Diceros bicornis minor: one gene and its partner. The protein of the gene in region 1 binds, or shares a complex with, the protein of each later gene. Links are inferred from orthologs where the notes say so. Each region holds a gene or a part of one and is shown on either strand. Other genes may lie near its edges.

Evidence for each region.
Region 2: ITPR1 (region 1) and CNN1 share a complex: the UniProt entries of both Homo sapiens proteins name them as parts of the cGMP kinase signaling complex. The link is inferred for Diceros bicornis minor from reciprocal best matches to the Homo sapiens genes ITPR1 and CNN1.

What each region holds. Positions count from the first base shown.
Region 1 is NC_080741.1:75,255,226-75,270,885, reverse strand, and holds the start of ITPR1 (inositol 1,4,5-trisphosphate receptor type 1), read left to right. Parts: upstream 1-9,644; 5' UTR 9,645-9,785; intron 9,786-10,570; 5' UTR 10,571-10,646; intron 10,647-15,660. UniProt on the Homo sapiens protein: Inositol 1,4,5-trisphosphate-gated calcium channel that, upon inositol 1,4,5-trisphosphate binding, mediates calcium release from the endoplasmic reticulum (ER).
Region 2 is NC_080769.1:7,985,700-8,000,460, reverse strand, and holds CNN1 (calponin-1), read left to right. Parts: upstream 1-6,669; 5' UTR 6,670-6,738; coding exon 6,739-6,801; intron 6,802-8,765; coding exon 8,766-8,887; intron 8,888-10,862; coding exon 10,863-10,929; intron 10,930-11,023; coding exon 11,024-11,161; intron 11,162-11,343; coding exon 11,344-11,454; intron 11,455-11,922; coding exon 11,923-12,069; intron 12,070-12,150; coding exon 12,151-12,396; 3' UTR 12,397-12,903; downstream 12,904-14,761. UniProt on the Homo sapiens protein: Thin filament-associated protein that is implicated in the regulation and modulation of smooth muscle contraction. It is capable of binding to actin, calmodulin and tropomyosin. The interaction of calponin with actin inhibits the actomyosin Mg-ATPase activity.

The DNA of each region.
Region 1 (15,660 bases):
ATTGTCCTCCAGCACCCCCACTCCCTGCCAGCTCTAGGCAAACACCGATCTACTTTCTGTTCCTATAGATTTATTTATTCTGGACATTTTATATAAATGGAATCATATAATATGTAGCCTTTTTTTATGTGACTGCCTTATTTTACTTTGCATGATGTTTTCAAGATTCATCAATGTTACAGCATGTGTCATTAATTCATTTGTTTTTATGGCTGAATAATATTCCATTGTAGAGATACTCCACATTTTATCTGTATATCAGATGATGAACATTTGGATTGTTTCCACTTTTTGCCTATTATGAATACTACTACTATGAGCATTCGTGCACAAGTTTTGTGTTGATGTATATTTTCATTTCTTTGGGTAGACAGATACCTAGGAGTGGAAAAATCCAGGCATTTTGACTCCACTCTACTTGCAGGCCTGGTAGGCTTCTGAAGTCTGGCCTGTTTAGGATACAGATAACCTACTAGTTATTATCGGCTATGTCTTTTTCTTTTTTTTTTTTTTGCTGAGGAAGACTGGTCCTGGGCTAACATCCGTGCTCCTCTTCCTGCACTTTATATGGGATGCCGCCACAGCATGGCTTAACTAGCAGTGCATTGGTGCGCGCCCGGGATCCGAACCGGCGAACCCCGGGGGTGCTGCAGCGGAGAGCACACACTTAACTGCTTGCACCACCAGGCCAGCCCCTATGTCTTAATTTAATAAAAATGTTAAAATGAAGGAGCTTTTCTTAATATATATAGATGAATATTAAATAACCAGGGCCACTTAGTTTGCCTATAATACTTTAGGGATCTCCATTATCACTTTAACTGACCCTTAGAGACCCAGATATCCCATGCATATAAATGATGCTAATGAATATATTGACTAATGTATCTATATAATAAATATATATTCAGTATCCATCATGTGCCAGGCACTGTGGGAGGAACTGGAGAGCCCAAAGAATCAAAGGACATAGCTTCGGAAATTATTCTGAAAGCCACTCGTGCATTCTAAATTCCACCCAAATCTGCCAACTCTCTTTGCTATTGTGTGCTCTATGGATGCCAGCATTTGCCAAATACACATCTTTATCAGGGTGTCCCATCCTACGAGCAAAAAGTTTCCTACACTTCCTGAACAGGCTTCTTCTCTACAGGGGAATGATAGAAATCCATGATTTCTTTCCCCATAAAATAGACTTTTAAGGTAAACTCTACTGTTTCCTCATTTCCCTAAGATTTTTCTGCTTCTACTACATTTTAAATGAGATTGTGACACAAAATAAGATTTATAATTTAATGGCTACAATTGATCAAACTTTAATTCCTTGCTGATTAAGAGTTATTTCATGAAACACATGAAAAGTTTCTCTTGTTCCTTTACTCGGTAGTATGGATTGACACTTTAACAAGTGCCACTCCATTGCTTTGAAACATTGTTCCAAAGTAGGTTACCATTATAAGTAGTCTTTTTTTTCATTTTCTTTTTAATATTGGTGCCTCTTCCCATGTGATAATGTGCTGAAAATAATTGAAGTGGAAGAGAAATAAAGGCTAATTTAATCTGAGAACCTAATTTCTAATACTGATTTGGGTTGAGCCTGTACACACTCTTCTTTTTCTTCTTTTTTTAAAGCAAGGGCAATAAACAATACATAGATTTTGTAATAGCAGCTTTTCTTTGTGCGTGTGAGGAAGATCAGCCCTGAGCTAACATCCATGCTAATCCTCCTCTTTTTGTTTGCTGAGGAAGACTGGCTCTGAGCTAACATCTATTGCCAATCCTCCTCCTGTTTTTTTCCCCCAAAGCCCCAGTAGATAGTTGTATGTCATAGTTGCACATCCTCCTAGTTGCTGCATGTGGGACGTGGCCTCAGCATAGCCGGAGAAGCGGTGTCTCGGCGCACGCCCGGGATCCAGTAGCGGAGCGTGCACGCTTAACCGCTAAGCCACGGGGCCGGCCCTCTAACAGAAGCTTTTAATCCTACTTCTTGAACTAAGTGAACTTTTCCAAAGCAGATGAACTTAAACATTTTGCTTTTTCTGAAGATCAAATGATCATTCAATAATGCACAAGTTAAAAACAATTAGCAAATTCTTACCTGAAACATTTTTTTGGGAAGACCAGGTTTACTTGTTAGCTACATGGAAATCTTTTTATTGAGCCTTATTATAATGTTTTCTCATTCAGGTATAAAACAATATATTCAGAAATTTAGAAAGACCTTGCTTTTCCCATGAGTGAGATTCTTTTGGAAATAATAATCTTTCTCTTTTAAATAGTTTCATTTATTTTTGATCATAAGAGTACTATACGCTTATTTAATTTTTTTCTCTAATGAACACTGATCTTTACAGAATCGCTCATTTTCTCCAGGGATAGCTAATTTCATCTGTCTCTGCATGGTATTTCAGGTGTTGAGTGAGACTTAGACTGCCTTTATAATAGATGCACTTTCTGTTTCCTCCTTCTTTTCCTCCTAAGAGGTAGCACAGTTATAAATGTAAATAAAGAGCTTGTTTGAGGGAAAGTTGAGTAGAGAAACTACTCAGAAGAAGCTACTTCCCTCCTTCATTTGCTATATTATATTCAATATAAATGTTTTAATGACAAAGGATCATTTTGATAACGTGTATCTTTAATGGAGAAACATTCCAGTGTGAACCGTCAGGTGCCTGGATCGTGGTGAAGTAATTAAGGAATACCAGAGGACCTGGGCAGCATCTAGGTTATTTCCTAGGTCACAGCTGTTAGAGCTGCAAGAAATTACTGGAAAGAAGAAACAATGAAGGAAACGGAATGAAAGACCAGCTGAGGACTACAAACTATGATTAAAAAGCAGCCAATCTTCCTATTTGTTACCATCTAAACACCACATTTGAAATTCTCTGGAAGGAAGGTAGTGATTAAGAAAAAGGCAGACAGCAAAAGCACATTGCATTCTACTCCTTCTACTCTTTGCCATTCTCCCCAGTGCCCAGCACAGAGTGCCTGGCAGAATATGTAGTTACCCATTAAATATCAGTGTAATATTGACAGCCAGGCACTAAGCAACCAAAAAATGGTCCTGTATAGATCCCTCTACCCTACTCCCCACCCCTCCAACCCCACTTCCCTGGCAGACCCTACTTAACTGATCTGTTTCATGAAGGATTAACCTCAAACTCTCCATCTGGGTTGAACTCATGATACAGGTTACTCATATCCTAAAACTACATTTAGAGGGAAAACTACTTTAAATCTGGGAACAGAATTAAGTGGGAACAAAAGGAAGCAGTTACTTTGCTTGAGACTGGACAAACTGATATAGCATGAGAAGTGAAAAAGTTACCAGTTCTACTTGATCAGTAACTGAATTAAGTAGAATCCAGTGCCTGGTTTAGTGACTAGCTCTATTGATGATTAAATAACTTTCCTAGGAGAAACAGAAAATGAAGCCTATAAAAATTCTCAAGTTTCCCACTTCCGTTTTCTCATGTATAATTCCATTTGCTTTTCTGGTTGACTTGAAAAGACCCTACTTTAGGGAACATCTAAGGACAAGGGTATTCTCCTACATAACTACAATACCATAATCACACCTAAGTATTAGTAATGCCACAATTTTCTTTTATAGTCTAGATCCAAATTTTTCTAATTGCTGAACAATGTCTTCTAGAGATTTATTTTTAATTTCTTTCAATCCTGGATCCAATAAAGGGTCACATGTTGCATTTACTTGTAATGTTTGTTTTAGTCTTTTTAAATCTAGATAGTCCTCCTGCCATTTTTTTTTCATGACACTGATCTATTTGAAGAGTCCAGGCCAATGGTCTTGTGGAATGCCCCAAATTCTGGGTTTGTTTGATTGTTTCCTCAAACATTTTTGGCAAGAATATTTCATATGTGATGTTGTGTACTTCTTATAGAATCATATCAGGATGCAAATAGTGTCTGATTGTTCCAGGATTGTTGATGGTAAATTTGATCACTTGGTTATTGTGGGCGATTGCCATATTTCTTCATTGTATAGGTCTGTTTTCCACTTCATAATTAGTGGGTAATGTGCGGGGTGATGAATATCTTGTTCCCCATCAACCTTTTGCCCAGGGGATTTGGCGTCTATTGATACTTTTGTCTAAATAAATTATTACACTGGAAGCTGCAATATGGTGATTTTCTAATTTTATTATTCCTTCTACATGTATTAGCTGAATTCTTCTGTAAAGAAGAGCTTTCTGTTTTTCTGTTGATAAACAGATTTCCTTTCAGTTCAAACACTAGGATAAGATAATGAGGCCTTTCCCAAGGTTTCTTCAAATCCTCACATCTAGCTCAGCTACCAGAGCAATTTAAGATGACAGTCTTGCAGATGTGAGGCAGGAAACTGGGGAAAATGTCTGAGTTGATAATACACCCCTGGTTCTGCCTGTTTCACAGGAAGATAATGTGTAAGAAAGTAATAGTGCTCTTTATTTGCTTACATGGTTCTAGACAATGTTGGCAGCAATCATTAGAGATAGTGTAGCTGTCACTTCCATATGGTATAAACTGGTAGTAACTGCTTAATTTTTGCATTCTTCTGTAGCTAACATGCTGCCTTCTGGATCTTAAATCCTTGACAATTTGCCCATGTTCCCTCCACGTGCAAGGTTACTGACCAGCAGTCTCTTCTAAACTCCAGAGATAGGACAACGAACATAAGGCCTCTCCCTGTTCATGCCTTCTCTTAGCCTCCCAGGATGCCCAGAGCCTCAGCTCAGGAAAAACATTTTACTTTTCCTAGCTCTACACCACACTGGTGTCTCTCCTGCTCTTGTCCAAACACCACCTGCACTTTTCCATCTCAAGTAGGGCTGCTATGAGACTGTGGGTCATTTCTTCTGGCCACCCTTGGGGTTCCAAGGGTGAATTAGCCAGTAAATGCTGTGCATCTACTCTCTACCCAGAGCGGAGCTAAATGCTACAAAGCGTACACAAATATAGAACTCCTCAAAGAGTTTATCTGGTTGAAGAGACAGACTCACAGAATTCAGCTAAAAGATATTCTAGTCTTTCAGGAGTGTCTATGAACAAGTTTTGGGAGGTTGGTACAAGAAATTCCAAGAACTGGTGCTAAAATTGTGAGTATCTGTGTTGTGCTGGGGCAAATGTCCATAGGTTTTATAAGATTCTCAGTGGGCTATGATTCCCTCCCTCCACCACAAAAAGTTCACAATGACCAAGAGCGACTAGTTGGAAACTGGCTACACAGTAGCTATTTCTCTTTACTGATAGTTCTCATGTTCCAGGGCATATATAGGAAACACATCACACCAAAAAATAGATTGAATTCTCTGACTTCAGTGTTGGTCATTCTGTCTTGCCACTTAAGAGTGATTTGGAGAAGCTGTCAATTAAAGTAGTCAAGGCTCATTGTGACATTCATAGGTAATTAAAATCTTTTACCCAGGAGAAAATTGGGACTAGCGCTGCCCCAATAATCTGAAGTTTGGTCTGGAGCTGAGTACTAGACCATGACATATCAACGTTTTCTCCATGCTTGTTGGTGATGTTCTCTCACTTTGGTATAACTAGGGTAAGCTTGCAAAGTCGTTTCATGTCCAATGACTCATTTGATCTGGTCAGGTTGGCAGGGCAAGGATTATTCGCTTTGCTCTATCAAAAAACAGCCTCTGTAAGGTTAGATGACCGGCCACGGTTACATAGATATTAAGGTTGCAGCTGGGTGTCAAACCCACATTTTCTGATCCCTGCTTTCTCCAGCATATCTTGCTGTCTTAATCAGGACAGCATTTGAGGGTGGGATTCTAGGCAGATTAATTCAGTTGCAGTTTTCAGCTGTATACTGCTGATGAAAACCTGTTTCTATTTGTAGGGTTTCCCTGGGGGGTAGGCTGGTGTGCTAGTTTTGGACGTTCTTCAGAATTCTGCTTAGTCTATGATACTATCCTGACTCTGCAAAGCCCTCCTAATTCCCTGCATAGGCATTTCAAGGGCAAAGTCATAAATGGCAATTTTCAGGGCTAGTTGTCATCTTGAATTGGATCTCGAGAATCAGATTCTTGGTTTTCTAGACTAGTGCTGTCCAACAGCATGTAATATGAGCCACACATGTAATTTTTAATATCGTAGTAGTACATTAAATGAGTAAAAAGAAGCAAATGAAATTAATTTAATAATATATTTTAATTCAATATATCCAAAATATTATCATTTCAACATGTGATCAATATAAAAATTATTCATGAGATATTTTGATTTTTTTTGTACTAAGTCTTTGAAATTCAAAATGTATTTTATACCTGCTTCACATCCTAGTTAGAGCTAGCTACATCTTAAGTGCCTAAATGGCTAGTGGCTACTGTATTGGAAAGCACAGGTCTAGAAAATTCTTCCAGGAAAAGAAATACAGTGAAGAAAAAGAAGCCCCCTTCCCTCTATTGATAATGGAGAATGAGTTGGGTAGTGGCTTTTCTTTTTTGTGTGTGAGGAAGATTAGCCCTGAGCTAACATCTGTTGCCAATCTCCTCTTTTGGCTGAGGAAGATTGGCCCTGGGCTAACATCCGTGCCCAGCTTCCTCTACTTTATATGGGACACCGCCACAGCATGGCTTGATAAGTGGTGTGTGGGTCCACACCCTGGATTTGAACCTGCAAACTCTGGGCCGTCGTAGTGGAGCACACAAACTTAACCGCTGCACCACTGGGCCGGCCCCAGTAGTGGCCCTTTTATTATGATATACTTCATCATCAATCATCAATCATACATCATCATAGAGAACCTCTTAGCCTCATAGCAAATTTAGCAAAACTACTTTCTAGTGACCCAGTAGCTTCCAGAACGTGGTGCCAGTTGCAAAATGTTGAATAGGACCATTAACACACATACGTGGAAGAAACAGTCTATTATGCGATTGGGTTATAAGGCTTGTGTGCTCAAAAAATATGTTCATCTAGCCTGCCATATGCCTGACACACCTTCTATTAAAACACTTTTTTCTAACAAATTTTTTTTTATGTATCTATTAAAATGTGCACACAGAAGTCTAGGGCCTGCTGGGCTGGGGCAGGTAGGAACTACAAGCATGAATAAAACATAGTTCCTGCCTTCAATGAAACTTGTGGTCTGGGAGGGAAGACAGTGGCTAAAACAGTTAAGGGTCAAGTGTCCACTGCATGGTGAAGACGAAAATCACCAAACTCCAGCTCTCAAACAGGACCAAGTTTTCTTCAGAAAACACACGTTAAAATTCCATTGTTTTTCTGAATTAGGAGCAAGTGAAATAATTACCCTTTAGTATTTACCAGTTATATTGGCATAGACTTAGTTGTTGAATTTGTTTGAAAAGTAGAGCCAAAAACCCTTTAGAAGTGGAACAGATTGTTTTCATGAGGGAAAAGAAGAGAGGGGACAGCTGGGAAAGGTGTGGACTCCTTTGTTGTGACAGGATGGGGAAATTTCTTGATGATGGGGAGTGGTAGCTTGAGGCATTAGGTAGAAGGCTCTAGTGCCCTGTGACTAGGGGATAATGCTGAAGAGAAGAGGGGCAAGAGTGAACAGAATGAACACAAACTTTGTCTACTTCACAGCTTTGCTCATTCCTGGACTGGTATTAAATGCTTATATGAGCAAATAAATACAATGCATACATTGACACTGGGGAAGCAGCGGAAGGGAGGGTAGTAGTTAAGGTCCAGAGTTCGGGAGTCAGGCAGCCCAGCATCCTGTGCGACTATGGGAAGTTACTTAACCTCTCTGTGCCTCAGTTTTCTCATAAGTAAAAAAATGGTTCGTTATAGGATTTGATGAGATAATGTACATTAAGAGCTTAGGATAACGGCTGGCACGTGGTGTGTACCCCATAAACATAATTATTATTAGTTTTGGCACTAATTATTACATCAGTAATAATTATTAGCTGTGGTGCGCCCCTCATTTGCTCCTGAAGTTTCACAGGCAATCCTGATAGCAAGTAGGATGACAGGAGACAAATGCTCCTGATTGTCTCCCTCTACAATGGCAAAACTGGGGCAACGAGATGAAAATGACTTGCCCAAGGGCTCAGAGGCCACTCCTAAAATGGGGAGGGAGGCCATTTAAGGCAGTGGCAATGGGTTTCCCCAAAGACAAGGGTTTAGAACACTCATAGGCTGGAATTAGAATCCAGGCTGCACCACTTAATTCACGGTGTCATCTCCAGAAGTTACCCGATTGCTCTGAGCCCTCAGCTGTTCACCTGTCAAACAAGGATAATAAATATGCCTAGGGTGGTTAAAACTCAATAGCATGAAAAATGTATGTGGTCTGGGCTTAATAAAATCAGCCTCCCCAGTTACCGTTATTACTATTGTTGTTATAGCAGATCCTACGCAGAGTCAGGCAGTGCCTGCCTGACATGCTGTGCTGGGTTTTGGCTCACCACTGTGGCCCAGAGCCTGGCATAGTGCTTGGCATCCAGTAGACACTTAGGAAACGTTTGTGGAATGAATGCACATCATCTGAGGCAGGGAGGGCAGCCGGCTGACTTGGCCTCGGAGCTTAGCTCTCGCTCTCCTTCCAAAAACAAGAGCCTGAAGCAGCTTGTAGCCCGAGAGCCCAGGCACTAGTTAGCAGTGAGCTGAACCCACCTTCAGTCCCTGAAGCTCCTGTCGGAGCTGCTGGAGGGCCCCCCCGTTTGGACACGCATCTTTGTGTAAGCGGCTCTCTCCGAAGCCCTTGTTTTTCTGGTTTGCGGTTTATTTACTTAAGCATTTACAGCTCCCGGGAGCAGAGGGGCTGCTTGAAGCAGGGTCAGGACCGAGGTCGCGGTCTCTATTTATTTTCTGTCTCCCAATCTCAGCGCTGGCAAGTAACAACACGGCTCCTTTATCTGTGCACCGGAGAGGCTTGCGTTTCTTTACCTCCTGCGGGGCGAAGAAGGACGCACGGAGTTCGGATACAGAAAAGTGTTCTCAAGCCACTTGCCTGTGTCCCCGCTTGCGTGGACCGTCGCTCCCACACTTAGTTTTCTGTGCAAACCAGAGCAAGGCAGAGCAGATTAAATAAAGACAACCTCGCGCCTTTAATCCTTGACCGCAAACACTGGCGTTTTTGTGCCCTGGATTTCTGAAATTCTTGGCTCCGGGACTCAAGGCGGGGGGAGGGTGGGTACAGCTTGTAAAAACTTCCCAAAGCACAAATCCGAGCTCCTCCCTGCCCCTCGCTCCCAGTGATACCTGGATTCAAAGGAAAAGGGGCAGCCAGAGGAGGAGCGTCCCCAGAGGCTGGGGGCGCCCCCCAGGGGTGGCTTTCGATCACGGGCTCCAAGCCAGGCCAGCTACCCCTGAAGACGCGGGTTTGAAGCCCAGACGCCCCGCGCGACGCCCCTCCTTCATCCCCGCGAGCCGTCTATTTAGAGCCCAGCCCGGGAGCCCAGGGGATTCTGGGACTTGTAGTCCTCCCCTGCAGCCCCAGGCGCCGCCACGACCTCAGACTTGGACTACATTGCCCAGGGAGCTTCCCGGCCTATATAAGCAGCGAGGAGCGGCTTCAAAGTGCAGTAAGCATGTGGATGTGCTGCTGAAGCGTTTCCTCAGTCTTGCTGGGGTGGGAGGAAAGGAGGAGGAGGTGGTGGTGGAGGAGGAGGAGGAGGAGGGAGAGGCAGAGGGTGGAGAGAGAGAAAGCGCACGCCGAGAGGAGGTGTGGGTGTTCCGCTTCCATCCTAACGGAACGAGCTCCCTCTTCGCCGACATGGGATTACCGAGCGGCTGCTAACCCCTCTCCTCGCCCTGCTCCCCCAAACCGGCGTGGCTCCCCGGGCACCAAGGTAGCGGCTGGGGCTGGGCAGAGGGCGCGGGGAGTTGGTACTGCACCCCCGGGCGCAGAAGTTTTTGCCCCACTCTCTGGGAGTTCTTGGTGGATTTGCATGCACTTGCATGCATTTGGGGGTTCTTTTACTGTGGGCATTTGGGGGGGGTTCATTTCAGGTAAAAAAATTCTCGACTCCAGTGATTGGCTTTGAGGGCTACCCATTCTAGACTGGAATGGCATTCCCTCAAGTTGGAAACTTGCAGCAACTGCAGGAAATAGTTTTTTTTTGGGGGGGGAGATTGTGGGGGTGTCATATGTGAGTCCGTTCAAGGAAACAGTCTTTCTTAAAATGTAGCCCTCCCTCGAGCTGCATGGTTGGGAAAATAATGCATGTGTGGGGGCCCCAGTGGGGACGGTTTTAAAAAAACGGAAGAAAACCCGGGGAGCGGTGAGGGATGAAGTGTGGACGAAGCTCACGCCCAGTGAGGATGCGGGCTTCGGATACTTGGCCTCCGCTCCGGGAAATAAGTGCTTTGGGATCTGCCAAAGACTTCCCTTAGTTCCAGCTCCCCGGCACGTTCGAAGTTTGTGCGTGCCTCGTCTCACTTGTCAGTTACATGCTGGAAATAAGGAAGCGAAGTTACCTGTAATCTTTGCCCAAGTGATCCGACCCACCTGCCTGTCAAATTTAGGGGGAAGGCTTCTCCAGGAAGGAGGCTAAAGAAGGTGGAAGCATGGAATTTGGAGCATTTCTATTAGGGAACCTTCGCGGTCTCATAGTCTTTCTTTCTAAATACTTAGGAGCTGATTACAGAGGAGCAGGATTCGCACCCCTGGCTTGGCGTGTTTTGGCAGCAGAGTGCCTGACCTGGGTCAGGTGAGTGTGGAAGCCTGAGTGCTGTAGTCAATAATGAGTTTTTGTCCTAAGCCTACTTTAAGTGCTCTCTAAAGAGCCATGGAGATGGGGAGTAGGAAGGAAAAGGAAACTCAATGGTTCAGTCTCCAAAATTTGTCACTGCCTTTGGTGAGGGCTTTTGGGAGCAGAGGAGATCCAAGGGGCAGTCCTACCTTGCACTTTTGGCCATGGCTCGGAATTGAAGCAGAGTGAAGATTTATGAGAGGAGGGGAAAAAAGCCATTAAATAAAAAGGATGCCCATTGGTGGCCTGAGAATTGAACTTGCCAGGCAGCATGTTGATGATTTAAATTCTGAAGGATGCAGTGCATTTCATCTGCCAAGATATGTAAGCAAAAATTAACTGCCTCTCTCTTTCAAAAATAGTCACTTTCTTTTTTCTTACTGTCAATGTGTGTTTAATCAGAGTAGGTTGGATTGCAAGAAATGAAAGTGATTGCTGGTTAATTGAAAGAATTAGAACTTTAGAAAGGGAAGTCAGTTCTTCAAGCATAAGTTAGTAGCATCCAGCCCTTGACTTGAAGCCACTTGGATGTCAAGGAATCTGATAGGTCCCTGTTGTTTAGGTACCTGTAGTGGGATATGACCTGAGGGCAGCATTTTCTGTGAACACAAGCAGCTCCTATTTTTTTCCCCAAAATGGTCAGACTGCACTGCAAGAAAGGGAGGTTTTAACGGGTGCTCGTACATCCCCATTGCTGCAGATTTGGTCATCAAAAGTTTTTTCTTCCGAAATGGTTAGGAACAGGGTAAACAACAGGGTAACGGGTGAGGGACTGGGCCTTGGTAACTTCTTAAACATTCTAAATATTTAGCTGTTCCCTGGGCTACAATGTTTGGGCTTTTCTAATTAAAAAATGAGAGTCAGACACTTCATTATAGTAGTATAGTCCTTTTGTTTCCTGTTGATAAGATCCTCAGGAGTGCTGGTGGAGTGGGAAGCATTTGAATGTATGAGGTCTGGTTCCTTCTTGGAGTTCTATTGACTCCCATGGCTCCATGGGCACTCAAAAGGCCAAGGATTGGGTTCAGTTCCCCTCCTCTCAGTAAGCTGTAGCCAAGGAGAGACTGTTCCACAGACTCTTCTCCAACTGGTTGCTAAAAATAATAATACTGACACATTAAGGACTTGTAAGTCAGATCTAGAGCCATATATCATGGAAACCCTGTGAGTCAGGTACAGGTGAAGAAACTGAGGTGCAAAGAGTGAAATCTCTTACCCAGTAGCTAGTACACAGTGGAAGCAAGGTATAACCCCAGGCTGTGGGGCTCTCCTGTCCTGTGTCCCACAGATGCATCTAAGTTGGGGGGTGGGAAATGGTGAGGGAGAAGCTAGGAAAAATGGTAAACTTATTGCTGTTGATGAAATAACTCTTGCTTATGTCCCACCAATGATGCATGAACAATACTTATCTTGATGTAAGAAGGAAATAATTTTGCTCTGACATAGGGATGAAAGAGTGTGGATGTTTGAGGAGGTGTTAGGTGTTGTACTGAGTTTGTTTTGGAAAGCTGTATGCTGAAAGTCTGAATGAGGAGAGTAAAAGAAACCAAACCAAACCACAAGGAACATTAAGTTCAGCATTAGATTCATCTCATACCTGAAATCCATCTTGATCATCTACATCAAGGCATCTGAGCAGGTTGAAAGAATGAGGCGTTTCTCCATCTGAATAATTCGAAAGTTTAAATTACAGTGAGTCTGAACTGTGAAATGTTATCTTTTCATATATCCTTCAGTTTGCTTTGTGGCCACTTGTGCAGAACGCTTTTCTTTTTCATTTCTTTCTTTCGTGTGTGTGAGTTGAAAGTACAATCTGTTCTTTGAATAATTCAAATCAAAACAGACTATCCTATCAAAATTTCCTTCTTATCGGACAGGGAAAGTTCTTCATGCTGTAAATGAATTACTACTGGCCTCCACTTTGAGACCCGTGAAAGTTGTTTGAGGTTGACAATGGTATCATCCATTTCAACAGAGTGGTTGCCATTTGGAGGGAATTGGCATCTTCACTTTAGGAATGAGAGATGGAATGGTTGCTTAGAGGAAAAGAAATAGATGAACTCAACAAGATGGATCTGTTGCCTTTTTCCTAAAAGTATTTTCAACTGAAGAAGACTAGGATATTAGAGAGAGAGAAAAGAAACTTCTAATCCAATGGTATACAACCAGCTTACTTCCAGAGAAAAAAATCACATGGCTTTTTAGCTCATTTATAATGTTCTCATGGAAACTCTGATTTCTTTACAAGCAGCTCTTAAAAAACAAACCAAAATGAAACAACAAACACCAAATATGAACAACAGGAAAAAAAAAAAAAGGTTGGGCTGGAGTTAGGTTTCTAGGTCAAGCTGTCCTTGGATACATCTAATTAAGGAGTCCACACAAGGCCACTGTCCCATCTTGTTGGCTGTTGGCTTGATCTTTTAAAATAAAATGCATTGCATTTGCAGGCTCTATATTAACTGGAAGTACATGTGATTTTTAGTTCACTTTTGCTGTTTTAAGTTTTTGCATGGCTCTTTTGGTGAAATCAATTAAGGCTTGAAGTCAGTGACATGAATGACATAATTTCTGTGATTCCTACCAATTGTCATGGTGTCTGTGATTCTGAGGTTATTGCTGATGAGGATGAAGTGAAAAAAGCACTGAAACCATCACCTATTGAGCTAGTCCTTATGTTGAACTAGATCCGGATTCTTCCCTAAACTAGACATACTTTAAGGCATTTGGCGTGATAAATCTATTCAAGAAGTTCTAATACCTGTTAAAGTTATGATCCAAGTGTTTATTCCTTCATTCAAAAGTTTCTTGAGCACTCGCTATGTGCCAGGGTGTGTTCTAGGTGCTGGGGCTACATTGGTGAAAGACCTGCTCTCAAGAGGCTTATATCCCAGTTGTGGGAGGCAGCCAATATAAATAAGCAAGTATTATGGTATGACAGGTAGTAAGTACTATGGAGATGAATAAAGCAGAGTAAGGGGGAACAGAAAATAACAAGTGTTGGTGAGGATGTGGCAAAATTGGAACCCTTCTGCACTGGCGATGGGAATGTATAATGGTGCAGCCACTATGGAAAACTCTATGGTGGAGCCTCAAAAAATTAAATGTAGAATTACCAGATGATCTGGCAATTCCACTTCTGGGTATGTACCCCAAAGAATTGAAAGCAGGGACTTGAACAAGTATTTGTACACTCATGTTCATAGCAGCATTATTCACAGTAGGCAAAAGGTGGAAACAATCCCAATGTCCATCAACACGTGAATGGATAAACAAAATGTGAATATCGATACAATAGAATATTATTCAGCCTTAAAAAGGAATGAGATTCTGATATGTGCTGCAACATGGATCAAGCTTGAAAACATTAGGCTAAGTGAAATAAGCCAGATACAAAAGGATAAGTAATACATGATTCCACTTATATGGGGTCTCTAGAGCAGTCAAGTTCACAGAGACAAAAAGTAGAATGGTGATTGCCAGGGGTTAGGGGTGGGGGAATGGGGAATTTGTTTAATGGGTACAGAGTTTCATTTTGCACAGCGTGGTGAATGTACTTAATGGCACTGAATTATACACTTAAAAATGGTTAAAATGGTAAATTCTATGTTATATATGTATATTTTACCACAATAGAAAAAAAGAAATAAAATGACAACAACAAGAGAACAGGGTAAAGGGGATAAGGGAGCACTCAGGTAGGGATCGGGAATCGGGGAAAAGTCTTTAATCTGGTTCCTTTAAGCAGAGATCTGAAGGAAGTGAGTGGTTAACCATGTAGATATCTGGGGGAAAGGATGTTCTGAAGGGCCAGAGCAGCAAGTGCAAAGGCCCTGAGATGGGAGCAGGACAACCTGTTTTGAGGCAAGGAGGCCAGGGTGGCTGCAGCTGAGGGAGAGTGCTAGGCATTCAGGTGCGAGAGGGCGTCAGGGTCAAATTGTGTGGGGGCCAGGTTGTTGCAGGTAAGCAATGACTTATTTCCCTGAGAATTTCTAAACCCGCACTGAATTCTCAGTGTGATTCTCAACATCACTGAACCCCATTGTCCTTTCTGAAGAGACTGGTGAAGCTGGCAAAATCACATACCAGATTGGAACTTGATGGGGGGTAAAACCCAGATTTCTAGACTGTCTGGTTAATCACTTGACTTACCTGCGATTGTAATTCACTTCCATAGGAAGGGAATCTTCTTTGATAAATAGATGAACCTTCAGTTGGTTTGAACAACAAATTGTAAGAACCTAATGGTATTCCTGGGGGTTTATCTTTAACACAAACCTTCTGCACCCTGCTGCCACCCTGTAGTCTGTCCAGTCCCATTTTAAGGAATTACGCAAGGAGGACTCATGCTCTGCTTTCTAGCATCATCCTTGGGGAATATGAAGTTCCACATTAATGATCTCCCCAATTAGTGAAGTGGACCCCTTTACATGTACAAACTTATAAAAACATACATTTTGTTACTTATTACGTAAGATATACGTATTCAATTATAGTAAAACATTAGGAAATAAAGATAAGCAACAAAACCAGTCACCCCCAATCCCACCATCCAAGATTAGGGTTCCAGACTTCCTGTGTATATATAAAATATATATATAAAAATTATATGTATATTTAAATTTCATAAAAAGGGACTCATACAATACCTCCTGTTTGGTACCTTGCCTTTTGCACTCTCGCGAACGTCTTTTCTTCTTAATAGACATCTGTGTCTTCATTTTTCCAAAGGTGGCCATACCTTGGATGGGATTTCATTTGAGTGATGATATGTATGGAATCACAAGAGTAAAAAAAAACTACATCATTCAAGTTTCATCACCATCGTAGAGTCCAGGTTTTCTCATTCAGTTTATACTGTTTTTTTAAGAAAACTAAATGGAAGGTAAAGCACTCCTCAGAGGTTAGCTATCTTAGTACAGGGATAAAGCCTAGCAACCATTCATTTAAATAGAGAATTTCTCCTTTGTTC
Region 2 (14,761 bases), on another chromosome or scaffold:
GAAGAAAGTGGAACTCTTGTACATTGCTCGTGGGAATGTAAACTGGTTCAGCCACTGTAGAAAACAGCACGGCATTCCTCAAGAAATTAAAAATGGAGTTACCATATGATTCAGCAATTCCACTTCTGGGTAGATACCCAAGAGAACTGAAATCAGGGACTCGAACAGATAGGTCCACACCATGTTTATAGCAGTTGGATTCACAATAGCCAAAGCAACTGAAGTGTCTGTCGACAGATGAACAGGTAAATAAAATGTGGTATAGACATACAATGGAATATTATGCAGCCTTAAAGAGGAAGGAAATTCTGATACAGCCTACAGCATGGATTGAGGACGTTGTGCTAAATGAAATAAACCAGTCACAAAAAGACAAACACTATATGATTCCACTTACATGAGGTCCCTAGAGGAATCACATTCATAGAGACAGAAAGTAGAATGGTGGGTGCCGGGTGCTGGGGGAGGGGGATGGGGGGTTAGTGTTTAATGGGGACGGAATTTCAGTCTTGGAAAATGAAAAAAGTTCTGAAGACGGATGATGGTGATGGTTACACAGCAACGTGAATGTTCTTAATACCACAGAACTGTACATTTAAAAATGGTGCATTTTATGTTATATATTTCACCACAATATTTTTAAAAGTCTCCTTACAAAGAGATGAGTAATGTAGACAGAAATGAAGCAGAGAAAGGGAGGAGGTGCTAGAGGGGTTTACAGTTTGAAATCAGCTATTCCAGGAAGATCTCACTGAGCAGGTGACCTTTGTGTCAAGGAGGTGAGTGAAGCCTCTGGAAGTTCGGGGAACACTTTGGCACAAGGAGCAACTGCGAAGGCCCTGTGTGGCTAGAGTGGAGTGAATTGAGGGGAATGTGATAAGAGATTAGGTCACAGCGGAAGGCGGGGCTCATGGGCTCCCCCAGAAAGCCCCGGTTTTAGGCTGTTAATAACCTAAGTGGATTAGCACATAAAACTGGTGCTTGGCAGTAGCAGAGCGCCAGGCGAGGATGGTTATCCGCCCCCATAAAGCCATTTCTGCAGCCCCTTGGCCTCCATGACGCACGGCGCCTGCACGCGGACAGAAAGACACACGCAGCTCCCTTAGGATACCTCAACGGCTCTGCGCAGCCGCAGCACATCTGCCTCAGCAAGATTCCTGTGATTGGCCGATCTGAGAGGCGCCGCAGCCAATCAGCGGCCGGTCCAGGAGGGCTTGCGCACCCCTCCCCAGAATGTTGACAGCCACCGTGGGCAGCGGCTGGGCGCGCTACCGCCCTCTGCCCGGCGTGCCAGCTACGCGCAGGCGCATTTCGCTCTGCTCAGCTGCAGCGTGTGTGGCAGGTGGTGGGGTCGCTGACCTGGCTGCCACCGTCAGAGTCCCCAGTATCCCCTCTTGGGGGCAGTCACGGCCTCTATTTTCCTCTTGCAGAAGTAGTGGATTCAAACACACGTATTTACTTTTTTCTTTTTTTAATTTAACCGAACACAAAAGTATGTGTGAAGCCCTGATGTAAACCTTTTAGCACACAATCCTCAAAACAATCCTAGGAAAAAGAGCAGCTTCACAGTGGAGGATCCTGGCAGACGACACCTTAAGCAAGAGGCCAAGGTTAACATCACCAGCAATGAGTCATAGTGACATCACAGTGACATCATAAGCCCCTGATATGAGAAGGCAACATCACCTCTCTGGTATCCTTCCCAGGAAGGCCAAAACCTCAATCCAATCAAGACAAACCAAATTGAGAGGCAGTTGACAAAATTACTGACTTTTACTCTTCAAAAATGTCAAGGCATGTAAAACTGAGGGACTGTCACAGACTAGAGGAGTAAGGAACCATGTCAACTAAATGCAATGAGGGATCTTGGATTGGGTCCTGGGACAGAAAAAAGACATGAGTAGAAAAGCTGGAGAAATCCAGATCCAGTCTGTAGTTTATTAATAGTAGTGTCCCAAAGTTAATTTCTTGATTTGATAAATGTACTATGGTTATGTAAGATGTTTACAGTAGGGGCAACAGGGTATATGGGAATTCTCTCTGCTATTTTTGCAACTTTTCTGTAAGTCTAAAAATTATCTCAAAATAAAAAGTTAAAAACAAAGAAACCTGGGAAGCAGGCACTATTGATATGCCCATTTTTCTAGACGAGGCAACTGAGGCACAGAGAGGTTAAGACACTTGTCCAAGGTCACACAGCCAGGAAGCACCAGGGCATAGTCCCATGGAATATGGATCCGGAGCCCCCACTCTTAACCTCAGCACCACAGTGCCTTTATTTAATTGAAACAAAGGGCTGCATATTCTGCCTTCATCTTTGTCTTTCTCACTTGTTCCCTGTTGATGGATCTGTACGGTGACTTGTTATTAAAAGGCCGCTGCAATAAATGTTCTTGCACATGTCATTCTTCAGAATTACACGTGTACTTCTTAGGAATATTCTAAAGAGATTTGCTGGTTCAGAAGGTGTATTAGATAGACAGGTTCTCCAGAGGAATGGAACCAATAGAATATATATATGGAGAGAGGGAGAGAGAGAAAGAGATTAATTTATTACAAGGAACTGGCTCATGTGATTATGGAAGCTGAGAAGTCCAAGATCGATAGTTGGCAAGTTGGAGACCCAGGAGAGCAGGTGATGGAGTTCCAGTCGGAGTGTGAAGGCCTGAGAACCGGGATAGCCAACGGTGTAAGTTCCAGTCCAAGAGCTGGCACGCTGGAGACCCAAGAAAAGTTGTTGTTTAAGTTCCAGTCTGAAGGCAGGAAAAGACTGATGTCCCAGCTCAAGGCAGTCAGGCAGGAATTCCCTCTACTCAATGGAGGGTCAGCCTTTTTGTCCTATTCAGGCCTTCAACTGATTGGATACGACCCACCCACATTGGGGAGGACAATCTGTTTTACTCAGTCTACCTTTATGAGTATGTTATCTCATTCAAAAACACCCTCACAGACACATCTAGAATAATTGACCAAATATCTGGGCATCCCGTACCCCAATCAAGTTGACACATAAAATTAACCAGGAGAAAAGGTAGGGACATTTGTCATTTAAAGCTATGGACAAATTGCCCACACCCATCAACAATGCTCCCACAGCCTCCCCAGCACTGTGTCGTCAGATGTTCTGATTTTTGCCGATCTGGAAGTCATCTGTCCACTCTTTTTAAAAAGCTCTTGTTCAACTAGATGTTTTTCCTATAAAGCACCTTCTTGCAAAGCTCAAGGCTGGACAAGGGAGTGGGCAGCTGTAGAATGGCCTGGAATAACCCCAGCCACAGCCTGTGACCCAACCCCTTCTCCACCCTCCAATTGTTCTTCTGGGGAGGGTGGGAATGGAAACACAATGGGGACCCCCACCTCAACTGCCCTCAGTCCAGGAGGTGCTGGGGAATTATGTCCTTCCTTTGTGCGGAATTAAGCATCAACATTTCAGAGAGACGTGGGTTTGAGTCCTGGCTCACCCACTCTTATTCCATTGACTCAGTGAACATTTTTTGAGCGCTTGCTGTGTGCAGGCACTGTACTGGGCAGTGGGGATACAGCAGTGAACCAAACAGGCAAAGCCCTGCCTCGTGGAGTTTCTGTTCTCGAAGGATAAGACAGATAATAGGCATATAGGGGCTTTTAAAATGAAAGTTTTTATGGAGGGAGACATACCCACTGTGAGGTGCAAACTCTTAAGTGAACAGCTCCCGCATGCCCATTCTCTCACAGTCAGTCTGGGGGTGGAGGATGCTGTTATTTGAGCAGAGAAAGGGAGGGAAAGGCCAGGCAGACATCTTGCAGAAATGTGTCTAGGCAGAAGGGACTGCCAGTGCAAAGGTCCTGAGGTAGAAGCGTGCTTGAGCATTCAAGAAACATGTTGAAGAATCTGGGAGCAGCAAGAGCAGCGTCACCCTGAGAGAATGGCCCGGCCTCTCTGATCCTTGAGTTTCCTTATCTATAAAATGGGCCTAAGAGTTTCCACCCCCAGAGTGCAGTGGTGAGGATTAAATGAGATTGTGCCTGGCATGGAGAGAGCCTTCCAGAAACAACTTTGAAACGTTTATGAACAACAGCCTCTGCCTGTTTTGGGGAGGAGAAAGATAAGTGAGGAGGGGGCTGGCAGGGCGGGGCTGCTAAGATAGGCAGGCACAGGGGGACGGGGGCTGGCACTCCCTGCTGGGGACACACAGGTACAGAGTTGTGTGTGTTTCTGTGTGTGTTCTGGGAGTCAGGAAGGTTTTAGGGGTCTCCCAAGGATGAGGAGAGGCAGGGACAGTCTTTCTTTCCTGACAGTCCTGTTCCTTGCAAGATCTCACTCATTCAGATGGGAAACTGAGGCACCGAGGGGCTGGGGCCAGGGAAACGTCACATAGGAGCTGAGTAGGGGACTGCACCCCAGACAGCCAGTGATGGGGGCGTTCCCTGGGGTGGGGACCTCGATGGCATCAGCCCCCTCTCTCCGCCTTTACCCCCATCTACCAGACAGAGACACGGAGACAGAAACAGTACAGAGACATCGAGAGAGAAAAACGGTGACTCAGAGACGTGAAACAGAAACAGAGACACAGAGATGGAGAGATAACGGAGAGAAGAGACATGGGGACAAAGAGAGAGACAGTGAGACAGGCAGATTCAGAGAGACAAAGGCTGGGACAGAAAAAGCCTGGTGACACAGACAGACGGACAGAGAACGACCCAGAAACAGCCAGAGATAGAGACGCACACCCAGAAAGGGCTGCCCTCCAGGGAGACCCCGGGCTGCCCCGTCGGGGGCCGCCAAGAGCTCCCCGCCCCGCCCGCGTCGTGCCTGGGCCGTGACTTCAGAGCCCGCGCGGATTCTATAAATGGCCAAGCGGCGCGGCCGGGGGCGGGGCCGAGTGAGTCAGCGCGTGACGTCACTGCCGCCGGGACCCCCGCCAGGCCCCGCCCCCGCCCCGCCCCTCCTGGGCCGCCAGGGGGCGCCGGCCGCGGGGCGCCAGTCTGCACATGCGCAGTAGCGACCTTGGGCCGCCGAGGGCCGCTTAGCGTGGGCAGGAGCCCGGAATTCGTGCGTTCGAATCCTGGCTCCGCCACCGTCGCGCTCTGTGACTCTGGGCAGTCGGCTTCACCCCTCTGTGCCTCATTTCGACCTCACTTCATAGGCTGTTGTGAGGAATGAGTTAACAGATCCAAAGCACTTAGTACAGAGCAGGAGCTAATGGTTAGCTCATTTTATGTATTTTAGTGTATTTTCAACATATTTTACACCATCAACTTGTCCTTAGTTGCCTTAGCGCAGTCGTTCTCAAATGGGGGAGATCTGCCCTCCTTCCCTGGCCCTCTGGCCCCCGGGGACACTTGGCAATATCTGGAGGTACTTCTGTTTGTCAAGACTAAGTTGGGGGTGCTACTGGCATTTAGTAGGTAGAGGCTGGGGATGCTGCTTAAATTCCTACAATGCCCAGGACAGCCCCCCACCACGAAGAATTATCCAACCCCGACGTTGAGAAACCCTGCCTTAGCCTCAGAGCATTAGGGGCACAGGCCTGGGTTCCAATTCTGCTCTGCCCCTGGTGAGCTGTGTGATACTGGGAAAGCAATCCACAGCCCCGTGCCTCAGTTTTCCCATCTGTAAAGTTTGTATATTAACTGTGTCCGCTTCTGAGGGTGTTGTGAGGATTGGACTGATATATGTAATGCCTGGAACAGGGACCGACATAGGGCTGCTGTCATATTAGCATATGAAAGCTGTGCCCTAAGCATGTGGCCCACAAACTGTGTGTCCTTAACATATGAGTGTATGGCAGGTTGCTGATATGTCACCGAGTGTCACTAACATGGCCTTGACATATGTGCATGATGCGGGCATGTCATCCACCCCTGTGCTCCAGGGGTGAGATCTGGCCGGGCAGGGCTGCTTGTGGGGGTTTCCTCCAGGCCAGTGTGGCTGGGACAGGGACATCGGGGGGTGTCCATGGCCTGCAAGCTGCTAACGCAGTCACCCTGCGACTCAGGCAACCCACAGGTGGACGGAGAGGGTGAGATCCAGGATCTCTGCTCCCTCAGGTCCTTATGAGGGGCTGGAGGGGACAGAAGTGGGGTGCCAGATTCCGAGCAGAAATACTGCTATTCCCTGAGTCCTGCCCTGTGCCAGGCACTGGATATGGGAGGCATTATTTCTTCTGACCCTCCTAACACCCTCAGGAGACGGGCAGTATCATGAGTCCATTTTACAGATGTGCCAACAGAGGCTCAGAGAGGGGAAGGGACTTGCCTACAGTGATAGATGGTTGGTGTCTTGAGTTAAACTCAGGCTGGTGCTGGCTACACCACCACGGGGGGCAGTCCTGCCGCAAGACTGGAGAAAGATGACCTCAGAGACATGGCGAGATGGCCAGAGAGAGACACAAAGAGACTTGGAGACCCAGCCAGAGGCCCAGTGAACAGTAGGGGGTGCGGGGGGAGTGGGGAAAGGTTGGTCTCTGTCTGGCCAAGCCCCCCCCCCAAAAGAATAACCCAGGCCGCCCCCCTAGGTGGAAACAATGACACAATCAGCTCCCAATACCAAGGCCCTGACATCAGAGGGGGGTGGCCGAGGTGGGGGGGCGCCCCGCCCCTTGGCAGGCCCCTGTGGCCAATGGGACGGCCCTGGAAGAGGCCCGGGCCGCCTCCAGAGCTTCAAAAACTTGTGAGGAGGGAAGAGGGTGCAGACGGAGCCCCAGCCGCTGCCGAGGTCCTCAGCGCCACTGCCACCGCTGCCCACCACCGGCCAGCATGTCCTCTGCTCACTTCAACCGAGGCCCCGCCTACGGGCTGTCTGCTGAGGTCAAGAACAAGGTAGGGCTGGGGCCACATGCCCTGCCAGGCCAGAGGCCCTGCTCTTGGGATTCCTGGGGCCCTCCTGCCTATCCCCTGTGGCCTGGAACCTGAGAGGGAAGAGGGACAAGTGTGGGGTTGGGGCTGCCTTCCTCCCCCTCCTGAGCATCCCAGAGCCCTCAGCTACTGTTAGGGGGTACAATGAGGGGCATGCAGGCAGCCACAGGTCAACTGAGGTGGTCGGTCCATTTTGAAGACCCCACTTGATCAGAGGCCCCTGTTAACCCTTTGTGTTCCTAGGGGGCTGGGGATGGACTTGATTCTCCACCCCCCTAGCCTGACAAAGAAATTGGGGAGTCTTGGAGAGCTGGGGTTCCTGCGAGGCAAGGCTCAGAAAGTGTGGGAGATTGTGAAGGGAGAGGGAGACAGTTGGGGAGGGCAGAGAGCAGGACACGACAGGGGTCTCCTAATTTTGGAGTTTGGAAGACACTGGGACACCACCTTCATGCTATGGATGGGTAAACTGAGGTTTAGAGAGGGGAGGCAAGTAATTAGGGTCCTACATGTGGTAGGTGCAGAGCTGGGACCCTGGACTCGCCCCCCCACACACCAGAATGGGGTCAGCTTCTCCAGGGCAGCCCACTTGAAGTCCCCAACCCGCTGGAATGCTCCCCTGAGCGCTGACAGAGATGAAGCACCAGCCCCATTTGACAGAGGGGAACACTGAGGCTCAGGGTGGCTTTTCCCAGGGTCCCACAGCGAGGAGGTGGGGAGCTGGGATCAGAACCTGAGTCGGGGGACCCTCGGGGCTGGCGGAGGGGGCAGGTGGGGGGCGGGTGCTCGGGCCGGAGACAGATCGCCGCGCCGCCCCCCCTTCCCCCCCAGCGCCGGCCCCAGAGCCGAGCGGAGCCGCCGCGCCATATAAGGCGGCCTCGGGGAGCCCGGCCCGCGGGGCCGCGCTATATAAGGGCCGGTTTGCTTTATAAAGCCGGGCTGGTCGGGAGGGGGCGGCAGGGCCCGGGCCAGGTGAGGGGGCCGCCCCCTCCCACCACCCCCTCCCCCAGAAGAAGGGGCAGCCCGGTTCCCCAGGGGCCGGGAGCCTGTCTGGGCTGGGGAGGAGGGTTCTGGAGAAACGGAGGGGGACGAAGTGGGGAGGGGAGGGGAGGGGAGGGAGGGGGAGAGACGCAGACAGAGATTCTGGGAGCCGGAGACAGGAGAGAGACGGATGGGGGAGGGCCAGCCAGGAGCCAGATAAGACTGAGACAGGGATGGAGAGGCAGCGAGGGGCGACAGACGAGCCCCACCCCCACCCGAGGCAGGGAACCTGGAGTCGGGGACGGAGACAGACCTACAGAGGCAGAGATGGACGAGCCTGCGCCCACCCCCGGCCAGACGCGGAGGGATGGGGACGGAAGGCAGGGCCAAGGAAAGACAGACAGAGCTGGGGAGAGAGACGCAGAAATACAGACGCAAGCGGCCAGGAGGAAGACATAAGCCCCCACCCCCAGCCAGAGCCCGAGGCCGAGGCCGGGAGATGAGGACCTGGAGAGACGCTGACACAGACAGAGATGCAAGACAGAGCTGTCCCCTGCAAGGCGACATTCAAGGGCGCCTCCTTAGGTCTCCTCCTCCTCTGCCTGAGGCGTCCGGCAGGGGGGTGGAGGGGGCAGGGCCAGGGCAAGTAAGCCCCAAGTTTGGCCTGGAGGGGGAACCGGGAGGCCAGGCGCCACCTCCCAGCTCTAAGTGTCCCGCTTTCCACCCCCCTCGTCCTCAGTCTCTGGTGCCAAACCTCAGAATGCCCGGAATGGCCCCCTGGGCAGGTGCCACCTCAGCCCTGGGCCCCCCCCATGGACGCTGGGGCAGAATTGCCTTAGTTGGGAAGGGATGAGGAACAGGCCCTAGGGAGCCGCGGATTGGGCCCGGGGAGCCAAGCCTGCTCCCCACTGTGTCCTCACCACCCTCTCTATGCACCCCCCATCCACCAGCTGGCCCAGAAGTATGACCACCAGCGGGAGCAGGAACTTCGAGAGTGGATCGAGGGGGTGACAGGACGCCGCATTGGCAACAACTTCATGGACGGCCTCAAAGATGGCATCATTCTTTGCGAGTGAGTGGGGCAGACTGCCCTGGCCTGCCCCTCAACCTGGGCACTCATCTCTACCCCCTCAACCCCTCCAATGACCATGAGCTCAGAGCTGGGTTGGGCACTTCATATCTGAGACCTGGAAACAGTCTTCAGAGGTGGCAAATAATCATTGTGCCCATTTGACAGGAAAGAAAACTGAGGCCCAATTAGGTAAAACCCATCGCCCAAGTCCCGTGCTGTTCCAGTGGAAATAACTCCAGATCTAGAATGTGAATCACCACACAGACAGGGCAGGCCCAATCATGGCCTCCAGGGTCCCAAGAAAGGGAGGTCACGGCTACAAAGCAATGGGCAACAGTGGCTGTCCATCGCTCGCTGGTGACATGAGGGACGTGCCATGGTAACTGAAGTAGGTCTCGACTTTCTACTCCTCTCAGAACGTAAATCACGGAGGGAGACGTAAACCCTCACAGCTCCCAAGCTCCGATTCCAGAGTCTGACCCAGGGCAGGGTGACCTGCGGGCCAGAGTGTGCCCTGGGAAGCTTGCAGAAGGCGTGGCCTTGCCAAACCCTAGGTGCTGGAAAGTTGGAGCGAGAGGGGGTATGTCTTATTCTACCACATCCAATGGGAACAAGGAATAGGGGACGCCCTGGTGTCCCAGCTCAGACAAGGCTGCTCCGGCCTTGAAGAGGGCAGAGCCAGCCACCCACTCAGTCCTCCAAACAAGCATTTACGAGCTCCTGCTGTGTGCCAGTTTTAGGCACTGGGGGTATCGAACACACAGCTTTAGTCCTAGTGCGGGAAGTGGATCAGATAATCGATGAAACAGTCACATACCTGCCTGGGGTGGGAAGGGACACGGAGAAGAGGAGCTGGGGAGGATGGGAGGGCCGAGTGGGGTGAAGGGTTGCTGCTTGTATAGAATGGTCTAGAAAGGTAACATGTGAGCAGAATCTTGGATGAAGTGAGGGAGGGAGCTGGGAGGGCATCTGAGGGAAGAGTGGACCAGGCAGGGGGGCCAGCCAGTGCAAAGGCCCTGAGGTGGGAGCATGCCTGGTATGTTCATGGGACAGCGAGGAGGCCAGCGTGGCCGGCACCGAGTGAGGTAGGGGAAGTGGAGGGGGCCAGATGAGGTGGGGCCTTTTAATCATGCTAACAATTAGGCTTTTATTCTGAAGGCAGTGGGAAACCATAGGAGAGTTCTGACCTGGGAAGTTACTTGTTTTGAAAAGGCCATTTTAGCTGCGAGATGAAGAAGGGTTTGTAGGGGACGAGGTGGAAGCCGGGAGCCCACAGGGAGGCCACTTCAAGAGCCCAGGAGAGAGACGCTGGGGGCTCAGAGCAGGCTGGAGGTGGCGAGGAGCCAGCCGTGGGCTTCTGGAAGTCTTCAGGAGGCAGAGCCAGAGCACTGGCTGAGGGACTGGGTGTGGGGTGAGAAAGGGAGAGGAGAGCCAGGAGCAAGTTTGAGGGCTTTGCCTGGGCACCTCGAAGGGTGGGTGGGTTTCCTGAGCTGGAGGTGGGGATGGAGGGAGCTCTGTGGGGAGAGGTGGGTGTCAGCAGTCCGGGGCGGGGAGTCCTTGGGGTACCAAAGGCATTTCAAGTCAAGAGCCTGGATGAGGTCATGGGGGTGAGGGTGGCAGGGAAGTCTCAGGCCTGAGCTGCGGGCTCTCCACGGTGCAGAGGTCCAAGAGGGAAAAGGAGGCTGAACCGTGGTCGCCAGCGAGGCGGGGGCACCGCAGGAGACCCCTACATACCCTGGATGAGAGCCTTTCTGCCCCGAGACCTGAGTCTGGTCCTGGGGTTGGCTTCCCATCTCGGTCCTGCCTGTGTGTGCGGTGGATGGGTGGGCTGCGGCTGAGAGCTGACGGCAGTGGGAAATAGCAAAATGGGTATCGCCCACCGGCTGTCATCCTGAGCCCTTGTCCCGCGCCTGGGCTGGGCATGGGTAGGGAGCACAGGGGTCCCTTTCTCACTCTCCTCCCCCACTCCTCGTAGGTTCATCAATAAACTCCAGCCGGGCTCCGTGAAGAAAGTCAATGAGTCGACCCAAAATTGGCACCAGGTGAGTCCAGGCTCTTTTTTAACTCTTTGAACCCCTGGCCCTCAGACCTCCACCATGTCCCCCCACACACTGACTGCCGCCTGCTCCCCTCCAGCTGGAGAACATCGGCAACTTCATCAAGGCCATCACCAAGTACGGGGTGAAGCCCCACGACATCTTCGAGGCCAACGACCTGTTTGAGAACACCAACCACACCCAGGTGCAGTCCACGCTCCTGGCCCTGGCCAGCATGGTGAGTGGGGGAGGGTGGGCGCCGGGCAGGGGCCGCGGGCGGTCTGGGCCGGGAGGGGAGTGGGGCCGCTCGTGCCCAGGGCCCAGCGTGGGTGGGGGGAGAGTGGGTGCTGCAAAGGGTCTTGAGGGGACGATGCGGCCCAGAGGCTCCCTCGTCAGTCCCCACCCCCTCGCCCTCCCCAGGCCAAGACGAAAGGGAACAAGGTGAACGTGGGCGTAAAGTACGCAGAGAAGCAGGAGCGGAAATTTGAGCCGGAGAAGCTCCGAGAAGGGCGGAACATCATCGGGCTGCAGGTGCCGCCCCTTCCGCGCCCGGCCCACGCTGCTGAGCTGAGGGGGAGGTGGAGGAGGCCGGGAGGGCCCCCTGGTCCCTGAGGGCTTTTGGCGACACGATATTTGGCATTAACTAAGCTATATGCCAGCCGCTGTGCTGCCTCACTCCTCCCGCATTTCTGGGTGGGGGGGGTGGGACTGTTACGATCATACCCTTTATAAAGATGCGGAAACTGAGGCCCGGAGAAGCTAGCTCTCTCGCCAGGATCGACCAGGTGATGAGTAGCCGGGCTGGGACTTGAACCCTGGAAGTCAGGCCCTGGTGCTCAGAGCCACTTACTGGTGGTGTGACACACCCTCTCTGGGCCTGTTTCCAGCCTGTAGCCCAAGGGTGGAAACAGGGCCATGTAGGTGTCCCCAGACATTGGTATATCTCGTGGCTCTTGGTGAGGCTCTGTAACCCCGGGTGGTTCTCCTCTGGCTCCCTAGATGGGCACCAACAAGTTTGCCAGCCAGCAGGGCATGACCGCCTATGGCACCCGGCGCCACCTCTACGACCCCAAGCTGGGCACGGACCAGCCCCTGGACCAGGCCACCATCAGCCTGCAGATGGGCACCAACAAGGGAGCCAGCCAGGTGTGTGGGGGGCTGCGGGGCGGGCTGGCGGGGCCCGTGGCCCTGGCCATCCCCACGGCCTGACCACGCTGCCCCCCGCAGGCGGGCATGACCGCGCCGGGGACCAAGCGGCAGATCTTCGAGCCGGGGCTGGGCATGGAGCACTGCGACACGCTCAACGTCAGCCTGCAGATGGGCAGCAACAAGGGGGCCTCGCAGCGGGGCATGACCGTGTACGGGCTGCCGCGCCAGGTCTACGACCCCAAGTACTGCCTGACGCCCGAGTACCCGGAGCTGGATGAGCCGGCCCCGAACCACCACCTGCACAATTACTACAACTCTGCCTAGGCCCGGGCCTCCCTGCCTTCCCCGGGGAGGCTGGCTGCTGCTCTCGGCAGGGCCCCGCCCGGCCCCGCCAAACCCTCCCCCTGCATGGCGCCCTCCAGCCCGCTGGCACCTGCCACAGGGTTAGCGTTGGGGGGAGCAGCCTGGGGGGTCTGTGCGGGGGGAGGGGCCCTCCTCCCTGGAGCGCCCTCCACAGGGTCCACCATCGAGCCGGGTGTTCCCAACAGCACCCAAAGGACGCACTGAGCAAAGCTACTCCGGCTGTCCCCCCACTCCCTCACAGGTGGGTCCCCCCAGGACGAGAAGCCCCCCAAGCGAAGCCCCCAGAGCCCAGGCTCGGCCTGCCCCCGCCCCATTCCCGCAGTGGGAGCCAACTGCATGCCCAGAGACCCAGCGGACACACGCGGTTTGGTTTCAGCGACTGGCGTACGTGGATGTGACAGCGGCGTTTGTGACGCGAGCACTTTCTTTTTCTATTTCACTGGAGCACAATAAACGGCTGTAAAATCATCCGAGGACCCAGGGCTGCTCTCTTCCAGGGCCTGCGTGGCTCTTGCACACGCGCAAACAGCCTTGCTCAGATACACTCCGTCTCCCGCACGCACGCTCACACGCACCCTGACACACACCCGGAGCTCACAGCCACTCGCTGGACCCAGGGCAGGCACCCACTCCCACCCAAATCCGCACACACGCACCATTACGTGTGTAGGGCGTGCACACGCTCTCTGCAGCCTTAGCCACACAGACGCTGCCCTTTCGCACACATGCAGTACACCCTCGAACATGTACATAAGGTCCACACGCACATGCTCGGCACCCACGTACCTTCCCGGGGAGCCTGTGAGTTGTATTGAGAAACAGCCAGGCTGGCCCGGATGTGAATCACAGTTCTGCTGCTCGCTAGCCGGGTGACCTTGGGCAAGTCACTTCCCTTGCCTAGGCCTGTTTTCCATCAGGAAAATGGGGAGAGCGAGGCTTAAGGGGTCATAGGGAAGCCTAAATGAAATGACGCCTCCAGGTGGGGGATGGCATCTGGCACCGATCAGTGAGAATGGACAGACAGCAAGCCGGGTCCTGGAGGCCCCTGTGGGCAGGGGGAACCCGTGGCCCTGGAGTGGACTGTGGGCAAGTTTGAGGGGACAGGGTAGTGGGCGAGTGGGCACCGCGGGGGCCGAGAGTGACGGCCTTTACTGACCGGCACAGAGCAGTGGAGTAGCTGACAGCGGGGTGCGGCTGCCCTGTGAGCCCAGTTCACTCTCTCCCTTCTCCTTAAGGCTGGTCCCCGAGTCTGGCTTGCCAGCCCAGGCCCCTGGAAGTCTGTGGACAGGGCCCCAACCTCCTCACATTTCAGAGGGGACCCTGTTCTCCCCATGGTGTGGGCCCCAGCCATCCTGCCTGGAAGCCAGCACTGTCAGGGTTCCAAGAAGACGCAGCCATGCGGGGCTCACAGAGCAGGCTTCCCCCCTCCCTCCCTCCCCAGGGCACGAGGCTGGAACACGGGGACCTGCAGAGACACACCAGAAGACTCCCATGCACAGACGCACACGGCCCCCGGGGCCTCGTAAACGGATTCCAGGCGCTCTTGGCCTGGCTACCGCAAGTCCTGCTCCCCCAGGGCCGGGGCGGGGAAGCTATGCCGAGGAGGATCCATGGCTGGCCCCGGGCCCTGGCTCCTCGGAAAACAGCACCATATTAGCACTTGGCCTGGGAGACTGGGGTGGGCGGGCCCTTGATGCCAGAGGAACGAGCCCCCTTTCTGCTGGACCCCGGAGGGCACCCCCCACCCAGGCACCTGTCCACTGCTCTGCCATGTCCTCTGGCTCCTGCCTGGGCCACAGGACCTTATCTGGGGCCTCGGAGGGGCAGGTGGGGAAGCCAGGGAGGGCCACGTCAGGGCAGGGTGGGCCTTGGGGGGCACATGCCAGACCCCGGCTGGGCCTGGTGGCCAGGGCTCCCAGCCAGCTCGGCATCTTCCTCGGCTGTTCACATCCCTCATGCCCCGGGTGGGTGCAGAGCCTCTTGAACCATGCCAGGCATGGTGCTAGGCGCCTCCCGCCTCAGCAAGGCCCCGGGAGGAAGGTTCCATCATCCTTCTCACTGTACCGACGACGAATCCAAAGCACAGGTCAGCTGCCGCCCAGGCCCCCGAGGCTCAGTGGAGAAGCTGGATCCGCCCCAGCACAGGCGCGGAGCAGCAGGACGTCCGTCACACACACATGATCTGAGGGCACCAGCACCCGGGGGCTCACCATCAGCCACGTTCTGATGCGTGTTTTTCCAACACCACCAAGCAGTTAACTCAATTCTGACACCAACCACCTGGAGATGGAGTCAGAGCCCACAGGTTAAGGGCTCAGTCCCACAA